Linked DNA regions of Astyanax mexicanus. The protein of the gene in region 1 binds, or shares a complex with, the protein of each later gene. Links are inferred from orthologs where the notes say so. Each region holds a gene or a part of one and is shown on either strand. Other genes may lie near its edges. The genes, in order: psme4b and psmb8a.

Region 1 (7,990 bases):
TCATGAAAGTCACTGCCCAGAAAACAACACAGTCTTTCCACAACCACAAACTAAACTAAGCTCAACTAAATATCAAATGTCAGCCTGCTATCCCTGATATCCCTGTGGACCAACTTTCACTGCCATTCCTTTTACAAATGTGCCTCAAGCACCTCTGCTTAAAGCATTATGAAGGAACAGCCATGCTGGAACCGCTCAGCCTTTCATTACTGACCAATAATAGACACAGAGGTAGAGTGCTTTCAGAAAGCTGGGGTAAAAGCTAAACATTGCGGTCCCATATTCAATCAGTCAATCAGTCACAGAACATTTACTTCCGGAAGAAGCTTGCAAGAAAATGTATTGCTAACAGAACACTGTTACTGAAAAAAAAATATTGTGCACTATATTGTTTTTTATTAATATATTTTATTTCCAGACCTTACTAATGTCCCTGTAGCCTGTCATTCTTCCCAGCTCTGTTTAATCCATTTTATCAAAACTCTAGGGGCAAAATGTTACAACAAATTACAAATCAGAGCTGACAGTTAATGTTCTCCTCCAAGTGTGTTGACCAGTCCAGTGATGATCTTTTACTTCTGCCTTTGGCATCTTTAAAAAGTGGTGTATTAGGATTTTCAGATATTTTAGAATGTGACTTATTTTATTTTGTTAAAATAAAATATAAATTATTAATTAAGTACATAGAAAAATGTTGATATACTGTCTATGTATGTACACACACATATATATATATATATATATATATATATATATATATATATATATATATATATTATGTTTATTAAGTTTGGTTATATGTAAGTTTGGTATCTATTTACCATAGTAAGGCAGCTTTGCTAAACAGGGCCTAACTACATTTTAGGTAAGTATGTGTTTCAGAATTAGATATCCTGTTTGTTGGTTAGTCACATTTAAAATATAGGCAGACTGCGGGACTGGGATTTTAAGATAAAATACAGCAAGACTACAGGACTGGATTTCAAGAGAGAAAAAAAGCTAAATTACTGGTCTCTAAATAGTGACAGCAGAATATACGTGAATAAGCATAAGCACATATATGTTAAGTCAATTCCCAAATAAGTGGAATCAGAGAATCAACTTTTGGAATTAAAGACCAGCTTAAACAGAATTTACGCATTATATGTTGCACGCATTAAAAGCATGAGTCTGAACAACAACTGCACACTAATATACTTACGGAAAAACACTGTTGGATTTAGTAAGATTATGCTTTTTACATTTTCATTATTATGTAATATACTAAATCACTTATGTATACGGAAATGGATGCTGTTTTTAATGGATATTGTTTTTGTGTCAAATCATGACTACAATAATCTGTTGCATCTTATCACATACTTTTATATTTATAGTTTTTTAGACACATTGTGTTTTTATTTAAATATTTCCTGATGTGGGGTTGTATATTTGTTTTGTTATCTGTGGCATAAAATTGATGTTCAAATAATGTGTTTCCCTCTCCTATGTATATGAATAGTGTATGTCAAAATAAAATATGAGTAGTTATTGTCAAAACCATAAGGGTAAATCTACTTTATGGCCATCTTTTAGATGAGTTGCATAATTTTCTAATCAAACAGCAATGTTTTATTTATCTACTTTCTGCTGCTAGTGTAAGCAGTGATGTAAGGGTAAATACACACTGTGGAAAGATTAGTATCTGTATACTGAATTTCCACATTTCCCAGTAACTTTCCCAGTACTGCTTACAGTATTTTATCTCTGTTCCAGGTGAACACTTTTCCAGGAGTTTTCTGATTTGTCCTGAAGAGGGCAATCATGTCTCAGTTGTTAGTAGAAGCTGAAGGAGAAGGAGAACGTGGCCTCATCCTGCTGGGTCAGTGGGGATTTACTAAAAATGTCCTCTAATGTGATTTATGGTGACAGTGTGTGTCTCCTGGTCAAGGAGCTGTTTCCTGCCTATCTGCACAGATTGAGGGCACACTTTATAAATTGGCACAAATATAACAGCTGATAAGATATAGAAATAATGAATTATACTGAGCTTGCAGAATTGCATTATTAGACAAACGGCAGGAATAGTTAGTAAATCTATATCTGGTAGTTGAAAAGCATTGTTTCATGAACTTCATTTGGGATTTAAAAATATATAAATGATTTGAGCTATAGGGCCACCTGCATATCCTGTGGTACAACTGCTGCAACTGAAGTGGCCTGTCTTTGAGAAGCTAGCGAGAGGCTGGTTAATCCAGGATCTCATTAAAAATACCTATGATCTAAGAGGATAAATCTGCTTTCCTAGAACTAATTGACCCTCCGGGCAAAGAGGTTGGTTTGGTTGGCTAAGAACAGGTCAGCGCATGCAATTGGCCGGCCAGGACAATGTGACATTTTCTGATTGGCTGTAAGGGATGCAGGATGTGAGCTTGATGAGATTAGACTAGATATCTGGCCTAGCTCCAGGTAAAAGGTGTGTGTCTGTGTGTTTGTTTATGTGGTTCCCAGCAGAAACTTGTGTTTGGAGTTTGATTAGTCTGAGGTGATTTGGCCTGGCACAGAAAAAGTGGGTTTTGGTGTCACCCACTGATACTGAACCACTGAGGATGCCATGCTGCTTGCTGTTTTGTGGTAGACCAGTCTGATTTGATGCAAACATTAGGTTTTCATTCAGGATCTGGCTTCATATAACTTATCAAATGTTTATAGACTGAGACCTTTCAACAGGTGTCTGGTGTGTTTCTGGAATTAAATACTGCATTCACACTGGCCCTTTTTGGTTCACGAGATTTGTGAACTCTATATTAGACCTTCACTACTTTAACTAAGGAAGCTAAGAATGTTCTTAACTCCACAAGTTAAGAACGTAACCTCAACCAGGCAACTAACTATGCAGTGACTTAGCTACACATCCTGACTACATTAGTGTTGGAACAATATCACTGCACTGGGTCACTGAATAAAGAAAGAGCAAAGAGGATTGAAGTGATCTCATTATGCCATCGGCACTGATAAACCATTTAAACTGTGTGAATACTAGGGGTGTCACGATCTCGATATTTTATCGAAATCGAATCGAAATGAGGTCACGATCTCGAGTATCGAAGTCAAAAAGAGGATCGACGATCCCTCCCGCGCGCGCTACGCAAATAGCGCAGCGCGCTACGCAAATGGCGCGGCACCAACACAGCGCATCCTATTCATTTAAATAGAGATAGCCACTGCATGAGCGCAGTCGGCGGGAGTGTGATCACTGTTTTTATCTGTCCAACGGGGGAGGGGGGGGCGGGGGTTGGGCGCGCAGGTTTTGTATCTGTATCTAACGGAGGGGTGGGTGCGCGCAGGTGAGAGCGTGTGAACTCGCTGAAATGCGTGTGTCAGTGTGACTTGAGAACACTGACTATAGATCACAGTGAGGTGGATTAAAAATCTTAAACTTATAATTGACTACACCTGTTGCTTTCCATTGAATTAAAAAAACATCTTTCTCTCAGATAAAGTAAACACAAGCGTGTTTCTGACTAAAATAAAAGCTTTTCAGGAGAGATATAAGTTATGTGTAAATATTTATAAGACAATACCCACATCACTTATCTAACCAGCCTGTACTGATTTCTGCCCCCCAATAATGCTTTCAATAACCTCTTGTAACCCCTGGGAGCCAGGGGTTACACTCTAATAGCCTTTAATAGTCTTCAGTAGCCTTTAAAAGACTTACCTGGCGGCTGTGGTGTGTCCACTAAACTCCGTAGTTATAAACATCCTGAGGTTAGCAGCGCGCTAACTGACCTGTTTATAATGTATTCCGAGCAGTGCCTCCGTGTCGGCTGTTCTAACCTGCTGCTGTTAGCTGCTTGGGCTGAAAGATGAACTGTAGTGAGCTGTATTATCCGGTTAGTGGGGTTAAAACCTTTATTTGTTTACAGAAACAGTAAAAACGGACTGGCTGAGCTCTGTAGCCCGTGGCTGGGCTGTACTGAAGTAGTGACTGAGTGAAAAGAGCGGGGCTTGTGCTGCTGCTGCTAGTGGTTGGATGAAGAACTGCAGCTTCATGTAATGAGCAGTTTCACCAGCCATCCACACACAGCTCTGATAAACTGCTTATTTTAATAGTGCACACTGTTGCTACCAAAAAAAGTCACTAGATGGCATTACCATATATATCTTAATAAATAATAATAATAATATTTATAATATTTATAATAATAATAATAATAATAATAAATATATTATTTAAATTTTATGAGGCATAAAATAATAACAAGAAAAAAAAACAAGAAAATCGAGAATCGAATCGAATCGTGACCCTCAAATCGAAAATGAAATCGAATCGAGGATTTAGAGAATCGTGACACCCCTAGTGAATACGCTGTATAGGAAAAGGGAAAAATTATCAGTTTGTCAATTATTGTAGTTGATTTTGATTATTTATTTTGACTTCACATTTTCCATCACATGATCTACAGGCTCATAGGAAATGGTTCTAAGATGTTTTCATTTAATAGCTAAAAGTATTATAGTATAAATATATAGTCATAGTCACATGTTTATGTGGATTGCACACCCTTTAATGTTTTAATGTTAAATAACTACAAAAAAACAGCTTTGCAGATTTATCAGATCCAGGCAGGTATGATCCCTATGTGATTGTGATTGTGTGATTGTTGGAGGATTAGCAACAATTTTGTTGATTAAAGTGAAAGGAGAGAAAAAAAAACACACTGCTTCATATATAATCATTTCTTGTTTCTATTTTGTCTCTATTGTCAGTCACTACTGATGCTAATGTAATGACTGCCTGCACTGATCCATGCCCACATTTCATCCACGTTTAATAACTAGATGAAGTGGCGGAAAGGCACCGAGAGGGGCGCCCTCTGTGTATGTGCAGCATATGTGCAGGGAGGGAGGCTCTGCTATGCTACCCACCGCCAGTTGTGTGTCCAGTTCGTTAGCTATGTGTGTGTCCAGGAAAGTGAAGGGAGACTCCTAGCTATATGTGGGTGACCCAGGCTAATGTTACGCGTGTCAGAAGGAGCGAATGAGCAACTTTCGTCCACGTGCTTGAGAGATCGTGTCGACAATAAACGAGTCGAGTTCTCGGGACGACAGACGGGGAGTCTCGGATGTGTCAATAAAAGATTTGTCAGGGGAACTTGTCAAGGACTAAGAGGATAGATACTACAGCAAACAAGTCCAGGAGAGGATCCAGCTATTGGGGGAGTGTAATATGAAAAAGGACCAGGAGGACACCTTAGGTTTTGTCCCTCAGAAAGACATTGTCTACAACAAACTCCTTCCTTATGCAGACAAACTAGACAATGAGTCTAATATCATTTTGGCCAGCATCAAGGGGAACTTGGCTCGGGCTGTCCATCTCAGGGAGCTGTGGCCCGGAGTTCTCTTCTGGACGAGAAAACTCTCGACGTGAGTATAGCTGCTTTTAGACGTCGAAATAAAAATGTTAAGTTAGTAGTTAGTGTTATTTAGCTATGTTCCCTTCAGCAAATACACCACACACACTTCAGGGTTTAACCGGCAATAAGCTGAACTTAGCCTAGCTAGCTAATGCTATATAGCTAACCCAAATAAGCTGAATGGCTGGGCCTGCTAGGTTATAGCTATCTAAGCTAGCTAGCTAGCTAACGCTACGGCTGTGTTATACTAAGGAAGCTAGATGAGTTAGCAAGTTCTAAGTCACTCATTTGCTTAGATGGCTAGGGCTAGCTAACGCTAGTTAGCTTAGCGTATCTATGTGTAGCTACGTTAGCTAAGTTATTAATTTTATCGGTTTGTTTGTGTGTAAATGAACCGACAGTGCATATAGTTAGGTTTTCTGTTTCTAAATAGTTAGTTAGCAAGCTTTAGCTATGTTAGTAATTTTATTCGAGTTTTTTATGTTAGTTAGGTAATTAACTAGATAAACCTACAGTGCAGATAGCTTGTTAGCTTAGCTAAATATGGCCCTAAAAGTAACGTTAGCGAACCAGTTCTTATCTAGTTAATATTATCTGTTAGATGTGTGTTTCGCTTTAGCGTTTAGCTTGTAACTTACCCTAGCTTGTTGACTTGCAACCGGTGGTTCGCTAGCCAGATGAGTTAGCAAGTTCTGAGTCACTCATTTGCTTAGTTAGCTTAGCGCTAGTTAAGCTAGCTAACGATAAGTAAGCGGTGTATAGCCAGGTTAGCTAAGTTAAACTAACATTATAGGATAGCTGTGCGTCGCTTTAGCATTAAAGCTAGCTTATCTTGTTGACTTGCAACCGGTGGCAAGCTAGCTAACGATAACTCAGCAAGTTGTGGCTAATTCCAGAAGCTGCTCACTGACCGTCTTTGTTAAAGACCAGCTAACAGTAGTATGGGCTAATAATATAGCTAGAAAAGTGGGGAAACAGGGAAGCATAAACTATATTTTACCCTACCTAGCAGTTATATGGTCAAAAGCTTTTGTTTAAGCTTGTCATTAAGGAATTTGTGTGATTTAGCTTGTGGTTAGCTAACTATAGCTAGCTGATAGTTTTCAGCTCCCACTTCATGACCTGACATATCATGACACTGCAAAACAACAATACTCTTAGATAACCTAGTGTGAGCTAGCTCTCTGTCTGGCCTCTAACAATCTGCAGTTTGTGTTGAAAACGTGTTTATTTTGTGTTTTTACAATTTACTGTACGTTCGGTCATTTACAGAACACTGCTACACACATTTCTACTCAAAACAATATAGGTTAGGTTAGCTATATTGTCATGTTTTGACTCTAGATGCTGTCAGTTGTTTTGACAGACAAAAGACAGCTGTGTGTCCTACGTTTTTCAGTGGAAAACAACTGTACTTGTTGTGTTTTACTATATTTTTTTTAGACATTGCTACACTCTTTTCCTGATACAACATAACATTACCCCACTGCATTTTTTTCTTTTTTTGTGCATCACATGACCACTGTAGCTACATAACATCTGTCCATTCACAAGTTTAGAGTCACCTATATTTGTGCTGGTTACTGATGTGTTTATGAACTCTGCTTTCTCTCTTTGATAATTTTTTCTGTATATCACTGGCAGGTATCTTCGTCTCTATGGCAGAAAGTTCAGTAAGGAAGACCATGTGCTCTTCATTAAGCTCTTGTACGAGCTGGTCACCATCCCTAAGCTGGAAATCAGCATGATGCAGAGCTTTGCTCGACTCCTCATCAATTTACTCAAGTACGCAGCTTTAAACTAGTTTTACAATACTGAGAAGAAAATGTAATTTTGAAATAAAGGCCCACGTTATTGAACATGCTTTCTTATGCCATTTCTAGGAAAAAAGAGTTGCTGTCACAGGATGACTTGGAGTTGCCTTGGAGACCCTTGTACGAGCTCTATGAGAAGATCCTTTACTCAAAAACCGAACATCTTGGTCTCAACTGGTTTCCAAAGTAGGTTTCTTACTTAAGGTCTTCACAAATGCCAATGGAACTTTGTCTTTTTTTAAATATTAACATTGCACCTTGTGCCAGATGTTTATGTTTGGGATGCACACACACTGGTAGTAGGCAGTCCTAGTCTTAAGACTGTGTTTATGGAAAAGGAAGAGCTTCTGAATTCTCTGTTTACGTCTTTAAAGTTCAGTTTGTGGATGTTTAAGTATGCTGAATTTCAGTCTTGGCCATTCTAAGAAATTATAATTCTTCTTAGTACCACCTTATTAAATTAGCCTCACATAAAATACAGCAGCTATTTTTAGAAGAACCCATTAAATTGTAATTACTGTGTAAGATCTCAGTTGATGTGTTTAGTGTTGGCTTATGCGTCTTTCCTTTTCTCACATTTAGTTGTCGAGCAGAAGCCTCCCCTAAACAAAAAATGCTTAATTATGTTCGCAAGCGGTAAGCATAGCCAGTGTTTTTTACATGTATTGTACTCTACTTACTTGTATTGTACTCTTTATAGGGCAGCTTCTGGTATTAATTGCATGCATCTGAAATTAAACCGAATTCAAAATCCACTGCTGGTCCGCAACACAGCTT
Region 2 (7,814 bases), on another chromosome or scaffold:
TACGGTGAAATCTTTTATTTTCGTTTGAGGAAGCATCGCATCGCTCTGAGGAGAGAGATACGCCGTGACCTGCCGTGACACGATCTGCAGCCGCGCTCATATAGCAAGCAGTTTTAGCCTTAAACTCAAACTACTGAGTCCTAATTCATCGCCAGATTACAGATGTCTGTGTATTAAACTCCCTGCTGTCGGAAAATTCTAGCAGGGACTAAAATTGAACACATACAGCCCTAAATAAGAGACCTCTTAAAAATTAGGAGTTTCTTTGATTTTACCAAATTGAAACCCTCTGGAAAACAATCAGGAGGAAGATGGATGATCACAGCCGTCAAACCAAGCTGAACTGCTTGATTTTTTTTGTACCAGGAGTGGCACAAAGTTATCCAAAAGCAGTGTGAAAGTGTGAAACTGCATTTAAAAAACAGTGTTATTTCACCAAATATTGATTTCTGAACTCTTAAAACTTTATGAATATGAACTTGTGTTCTTTGCATTATTTGAGGTCTGAAAGCTCTGTATCCTCTTTATTTTAGCCATTTATCATGTTCTGCAAATACATGCTCTAAATGACAATATTTTATTTGGAATTTGGGAGAAATGTTGTCCATAGTTTTTACCTATAAATAGCAAACTCAGAGAAAACTGATTCAGAAACTAAAGTGCCCCATTTAATTCTGAGCACTTCTTCATTAGAGGAGCACCTGACAGGGGACCTGTTCATGTTTACTCACCTTAACACCATACACCTATACATCCCATTTTTGTCCTAAATGATAGTAAATGGTTCTTTATCCTACAACAGCTTGCTATACATTATCCCTCTATAGCTTGATTTTCATATTTGTTTAGAAAAAAAACTACATTTTGACAGTGGTGATCTAACCATCAAAAAATTAGGAACCACTGTTTCAACATGATTGCCTCGTTATGTATCTGTATAATGTTGCCCAGAAGCAATAAATCAAAGAAAGCTCTTTTAGTAAGAAGATAAAGAAAACATAGCCACAACAATAAAAAAAAACATTAAAAGCACAATTCAATAATCAAAAGTGTGTTTTTTCGTAGCCTGTAAGCAACACCATGACATAATGTCTTAGGATTGTCAGCTACCTTATCATTTGCCTTTGTCTTTCAGAAATGTTTTATTGAACAATGTGCTTGGAGAACAGAAGACAAAGACACCTAAACCCATGAAGACTGGAACCACAATTGCAGGAGTGGTGTATAAGGTATGAAACATCAGAAGAGAGTTCAAAATGTAGGATTATTCAAATCATATTCTTTATATGTGATGTTTAATATTGGTTTCTATCTATCTATCTATCTATCTATCTATCTATCTATCTATCTATCTATCTATCTATCTATCTATCTATCTATCTATCTATCTATCTATCTATCTATCTATCTATCTATCTATCTATCTATGTATGTAGGATGGTGTGGTACTGGGAGCAGACACAAGGGCCACTTCCAGTGAAGTAGTCGCTGACAAAATGTGTGCCAAAATTCACTACATTGCTCCAAACATATAGTAAGTGGCACCTCCACTTGTAAAAAACATAACATTTTTCCTCAATATTACTCATAATTTAATGTTAGAAAGAGTGGTGTATCATAAAATTATCTAATTGTTTTTAAACCTTCTGACTGATTGTGTACACTACTCAGATTTCATACAGAAAAATATAAGAGGTTGCAACTGTCTGTTTTTTTATGTGTTTAGCTGCTGTGGAGCAGGGACTGCTGCAGACACAGAAAAAACTACAGACATGCTGTCATCCAACCTCACCATTTTCTCCTTGAACAGTGGCAGAAATCCTAGAGTGGTCATGGCAGCTAACATCATACAGGATATGCTCTTCAGGTTGACAAGCACATTCCATTTTCACTTTTTGAGATCTGATTTTACTTTCAGTGCCCTTTTACAAAGGGGGATTCTCTAGTCATGAAATTATTTGGTGGATGAGAATGTAATGTCTTGCATCTGCTGTAGTTTCTAAAAAAATATGAGATGCAGCAAACAATCTTTATAAATTTGTTTGTGGAACACATTCCATTTACACCTGTTTTTAATGTGGTTAAGATCCCTCTCTCCAAATGTGACTTGGTCATTCGTTCATATCACATTCTGGCTGTGGCTTCTCTTGCGATCAATTAAAATCTGCATGTGGTCCAACCAATAAAATGTATGTTAATGCAAGTGATAAAGTGATAAAAACTGACATTTATTGTTGCTTTTTTGTTTACTTTAATGTTGATGTCATATATCAGGTATCGAGGTGGGATTGGAGCGAATCTCATTTTGGGAGGGGTCGACTGCACTGGGAGTCACATCTACAATGTGGGGCCTTTTGGAAGCATGACCAAGGTTCCATTTATTGCAATGGGTAAGTTTATGACATCCAGAAGTCACATTCAAACATGTAATTTAATGATACTGCAGTTATTTGCTAATTCAATCAATGGTTGTGTTTAGGATCTGGAGATTTAGCTGCTATGGGTGTTCTGGAAGACAGGTTCAAACCCAGTCTGGAGGTACTTGGCTGTTTTAAAATAATCTGATTCTTCCTTATGTTCAATTTACTTCAGTCACAGACAACCTTAGTAATAAAAGGTATTTATAACACTGTACTGGCTTAAAATGAACCAACTCTCACATTGTTTCATCCTGTTTTCTAGCTTGAGGAGGCCAAGTTTTTAGTGCGCGATGCCATCCATGCAGGCATCATGAGTGACCTGGGTTCAGGAAACAACATTGACATCTGTGTCATCACCAGGGAAGGGGTGGACTACATAAGACCCTATAAGGAATCTGAATACACGAACAAGAGGTAAAAAAGGACATTTCAGTCAGGTTATGATCACATTATTACGCTGAAGTGACCTTTTTTTGCCTTATTGTGACACGTATAAGATTTTTTTAAGTTTTGTGGACATGTCAAATCTGACCTTTCAAAGATTTTAGTCAATTTTATAGGTATATTAGTTAATATGCTAGCAGTACCTTATTGGACTATTCAGTATTACTGTATTATGCACAGGCAAACAGCTGTACAAAGTGTAATCACCCTGCACTTTAGCAGTTTGTTGACAATAATTCTCTTTTTTTATTGTGTTATGTGATCGTCTGAAGGCTTAATATGGACTACACTGAATAAGGGTCTTAAAAAAGTCCTGCCTAGAGCTAATCAATTATTAGAAAAAATCTGAGTACTTGAGTGGGTAATATTTCCTTTTTGTTTGTTCCTCTCTCTCTCCCAGACAGGAAAAATATAAGTATAAACCAGGTACAACTCCTGTTTTGACAGAGAAGGTGGTTCGCTTGGAGCTGGAGCTTGTGCATGAGAATGTTCAAACAATGGAAACATCCTGAGCCAAACTCCTGTGCCCTCTGTTTTTGAAAATAAACTGGTGTCAGAAAGCACAAAAATCACATTTTCAGTTAGTTGTGAATATGATAATAAATAAATGACCAAATTAGACTTGTGTATGTTCTGTTTTGTTTTCATGGTTAAAGGAAAAATACAACCATGTTTGTGTTTATTGCAAGCTGACATTATGAGTGGTGTACAATACCAAAGTAAATGTAATCAGTTACTGTTTAAAAAAATATGTGTGAATTTACTGAAACATCTCTACCTTGGGTAACTTTTTACTTTACCTCTACTTCATTTTAAACCCAGATATTTTACTTTTTACTCCATTATGTAAAGTCTGTCATTACACTACAGGCTTATGTGTGCATAAAAACATTAGATTTTAAAACAAACTTAAAGGAAGCACACCAATCAGAGTACACTGTATGTTTTGCACTTGTTTTAACCTGTTGGACACCTAGCTATCCATCACACGCATACCGGGGAGCGCAACATCTGTGAAAAATGGTAAAAAGGTAAAAAGTGGGGGGTATGAATTGAGGACTTTTGCTTTTACTGAAATAACATTTTACCCTTGAGTATTACCACTTTAATTCAAGTACACGGTTTATGTGTTGTCAATATAAATTTTGTAATAAATCATTACTATATTTCAGAGGTTTTAAATTGGGCATATAGGGATTAGCTATCGTTTTAGCATCACATATTAATTTACACTTCCTTTGTTTTAATAAATAACCTAAGATTATTTATAAGATTATTACAGAAGAATGGAAAACTTTTCAAAAAGTTCTGAAAAACACTCAAAAACCCAATAAACATAAAAATTCTACACTTTATTCATATACTATTTTACTAATTGTTTAAATATAAGTCAATTTAATTTACCTGCATATTTTCACTGAATCGTTTAAAATCACACCACAGTTTCAGTATAGTATAAACTAGTTTTACTTGCATTGTATCATTTGTGTCACATGAGTGTTTCATAAAATAATTGCTAGTGTATAACTGAATAAGAATAGATTAAAAGATAAGAAAGGTATACAATTTGAGCAGGCAGGCTAGCAGGCTACATGAGCTGACACTTTAATAAACTACAGTTAATCTGCTGCAGCGCAACCTGTAGACGAGCTTTCTCCCTGTGAACTGATGACGCGCACAGACGAGCGCTCCTATTGGTCAGCCGGCTGTGGGGAACTCGTCAGGTAGGTGCGTGTCTTTTCTTTTCCGTATAAAAATTATTTTTTTTAACGTTAAAGTGAAAAACGTATAAAGCGAGTAAACATGAGAGTGTGTAAAATTATATAATTTTCAGAAAACCTTTAAAAATGTTTGTTAAAGCAGGAAAAATCGGCTAAAATCGAAACTAAAAAAACAGCATCCCTGAAACTTTCGGTTTCAGCTACAGATACGTTGTCTTCCTGTGATTGCTCACATTTCACCCGGTGAAAATCTGCTTTTCTCTTTTCGGGGCTAAAGCTTGTTTCAGGAAACACTAATAACTAATAATACCGTCTGCTGTTTTAAACAGAACAGCATGGCTCTAGCAGAAGTTAGTGGATATTCGTCCGTATCCGGATTTGGACTGTTTTCGAGGCAAGCTCACTTCGTGGACGGACCGAATCATTACTCTTTCGGGGTGAAATCACAAGAATTTGCCGTTCCTGTTGGAGTTGACGTAAGTAATGTGTAATAAATAACTGATGGATGATCGGCCAGTGGCCTGATTAATTCACCCTCAACTGCGTATCTACATGCATCCCTGTACAAGTACAAGTACGATTAAACTATAGCTTACTTAGAATACGTTACAGTTGAAGTGCTCATGTGGGACTAGTCACATGGATGGAGTGTGGTCTAGGTGGGATTCAGGTGGGCATGGGCTCTGATTGAATTTGTAGTCTACACATGTTGTTACTGTCTGGGACCCAGTTTGGCTTCCAAAATGTGCCTCATCATTACAGCCCACCTTAATCCCACAAGGCTCTGATCTAGGCCCCATGTGCAGTGCACAACTCAGATGGAGCCTATAATTTACCCTGTTAAAAATCCAGCTCAAGACCAGCTGGTCATCCAGTATAAAAACTCTATGCTAGTCAAGAGATAGGGTAAGTGTAATGATATCAGTGTAATGTTTATTCATTTATTTTTCAGACTGTAAAGGCTAAATGCAAAACATAGAAAATTGTACGTAAAACTTGTTTTTTATGTAGTGCAGTGTACAAGAAATAAGTTTTCATCCATTGTTCCCAATTTTAGGTTTTTCATTTCTGCACCTCACAATTGGATTTTCAGGAAAAATAAAAAAGGATCTTTTATTTATTTTCTGATTGTTCCATTTTTGTATTTTGCAAGAATACCCCCAAATTTGTGTTACAAGATACAAAAATGGACAAATCTGAAAATCAAGAGAAGATTCACTTTTTAATGTCTCTTGAAATTATTTTGCCAAAGGCTGAAATAAAAAACAATATGATAAAAAAATTGAATGAAAATCCATTTCTTCTTCACTCTGAATGGATAAAATAAAGATTACGTTTTTTTTACACAATTTTCTGTTTTTGAATTTAGCTTGATACAGTCAGAAAATTAAACTAAGTTTAACTCAGTGTGCTAAACAGTACACTGACCAGATGGCAAGCTGGTCTTGAGCTGGATCTTTTTAACACGTAACCCCTCCTGGTCCCATTACTGACCCTAATTGGGTTCCCATAGATGGAATGTGGTCTAGATAATTTTGGGGTGGGCATGGGCTCCGAGTGGGTTTGTAGCCTACATGTGTTGTTACTGGCACCCGGTTGGTCTTCCCAAAAGGAACCTGTTATCATGGTCCTATCACTAACTCTTGTTGGGGCCGTGCCACACGATTGACATTCATATGCGGTGCCAACATGGAAGCCGTAGACAAAACCTTTGTTGGTTCCCAGTTGGGGTACCCATACAGACCCAACATGGATATTTTAAGCTGCTCACTGACTTTAAAGTACACAGTGTTACTATAATAATAATAATTGTAAGTGGTATAAATCAAAAATGTTTGAACAGGCTCTAAAATCATCTTGTGTTTTTTCAGCCATCAACCTTTCTACAGTCATGCAGCTGTGAGGATGGCATATCAATTGACATGAACCATGGCACCACCACACTGGCTTTCAAGTTTCGCCATGGCGTCATCGTGGCAGTTGACTCTAGGGCTTCAGCTGGTAACTACATAGGTAAGTATACTCACATCACTTTACTTCACAAGTTACACAAAGTAAATCACATATTCACAGAATTAAAAAGTTATAGCATAATTGTAAATTACAATACCACACCCAGTCGTGTAATTTTTATACCATCCTATATGTTTTGTTTCTAATAGACACAAAGGAAGCAAATAAGGTGATTGAGATCAACCCTTACCTGCTGGGTACCATGTCCGGCAGTGCAGCAGACTGTCAGTACTGGGAAAGACTCCTGGCTAAAGAGTGCAGGTTTGTTCGAACTTGAATCGTTTGAGGATGGAGGGAGTGCACATATAAAGTTACCATCAACTGTGTGTGTGTATGTGTGCGCATGTGTGTGCATTTGTTGCCATGTCAGGAAATTTTGCCAGTCATCTCAACTCAGCAGATGCATCTATGCACCCAAAAGGAAAATCTTTTTCTTTACATAAGATAAAGTGCATTAAACATGCTATGGTGCTAATTTTCATGCAAAAAAAGTTATTCCTTATATCAACTAAATCATTCAATTAACCACATTCAGTTGATAGTTGGGTTCAATTTCCCTAACCACACCCAGGTACAATTTAATGACAGTGTTCGAATGCAAATACAGATGTAAACATTCCCAGAATGTATACAGTCTGCCAGTCGGGGAAGTGTTACAAAGCTAAGTCTTAAACTAGGTCTTTGGGAGTCATTATCCATGAATGGAGAAAATTCTGAACAGTGGTGAAACTTTTAATTTAGTGGGCAGCCTGTTAAACAAATTCAGCATGTGTGCATTGCCTACAAAAACATCTTAAGGATCTGCAGTCATTTTGTGCCTCAGTTACTATCAACGTACACAATTTTAGGATCTGTGGGATAATATTCTGTGGTGGTAGAATGTTTTGTAAGACATGGATCTTGATAAATCTGGTGGAAAGCTAACTCTGCATAAGAACATAATACCAATAGTCAGATTGTGATTTGCTTAAGCAAAGATGGGTTATGCAAAAGGACAATGATTCAAAGCATACAAGCAAGTCTATGGCCCAAAAAAAGAATTACGGTGTAGGAATGGCCAAGTCTTAAATGGACACATCGTGCCTGAAAACTCACCAGTGTAGTTGAATAAAAACAATATTGCAAAGACAAGCAAACTGAAATTCCTCAACATAAGTGATTGCAAACATTTGATTGCAGTTATTACTGCCAAGAGTGTCACAACCAGATGTTAGAT

Evidence for each region.
Region 2: psme4b (region 1) and psmb8a share a complex: the UniProt entries of both Homo sapiens proteins name them as parts of the spermatoproteasome. The link is inferred for Astyanax mexicanus from reciprocal best matches to the Homo sapiens genes PSME4 and PSMB8.

The regions. Positions count from the first base shown.
Region 1 is NC_064422.1:31,571,862-31,579,851, reverse strand, and holds the start of psme4b (proteasome activator complex subunit 4B), read left to right. Parts: upstream 1-4,883; 5' UTR 4,884-5,212; coding exon 5,213-5,409; intron 5,410-7,043; coding exon 7,044-7,184; intron 7,185-7,282; coding exon 7,283-7,399; intron 7,400-7,795; coding exon 7,796-7,849; intron 7,850-7,990. UniProt on the Homo sapiens protein: Associated component of the proteasome that specifically recognizes acetylated histones and promotes ATP- and ubiquitin-independent degradation of core histones during spermatogenesis and DNA damage response.
Region 2 is NC_064410.1:22,167,581-22,175,394, forward strand, and holds the start of psmb8a (proteasome subunit beta type-8), read left to right. Parts: upstream 1-4,497; 5' UTR 4,498-4,592; intron 4,593-4,914; 5' UTR 4,915-4,920; coding exon 4,921-5,061; intron 5,062-6,456; coding exon 6,457-6,598; intron 6,599-6,747; coding exon 6,748-6,859; intron 6,860-7,814. Other genes in the region: psmb13a (proteasome 20S subunit beta 13a), read left to right, coding at 1,136-1,229, 1,437-1,534, 1,727-1,867, 2,275-2,390, 2,480-2,538, 2,683-2,834, 3,265-3,376. UniProt on the Homo sapiens protein: The proteasome is a multicatalytic proteinase complex which is characterized by its ability to cleave peptides with Arg, Phe, Tyr, Leu, and Glu adjacent to the leaving group at neutral or slightly basic pH.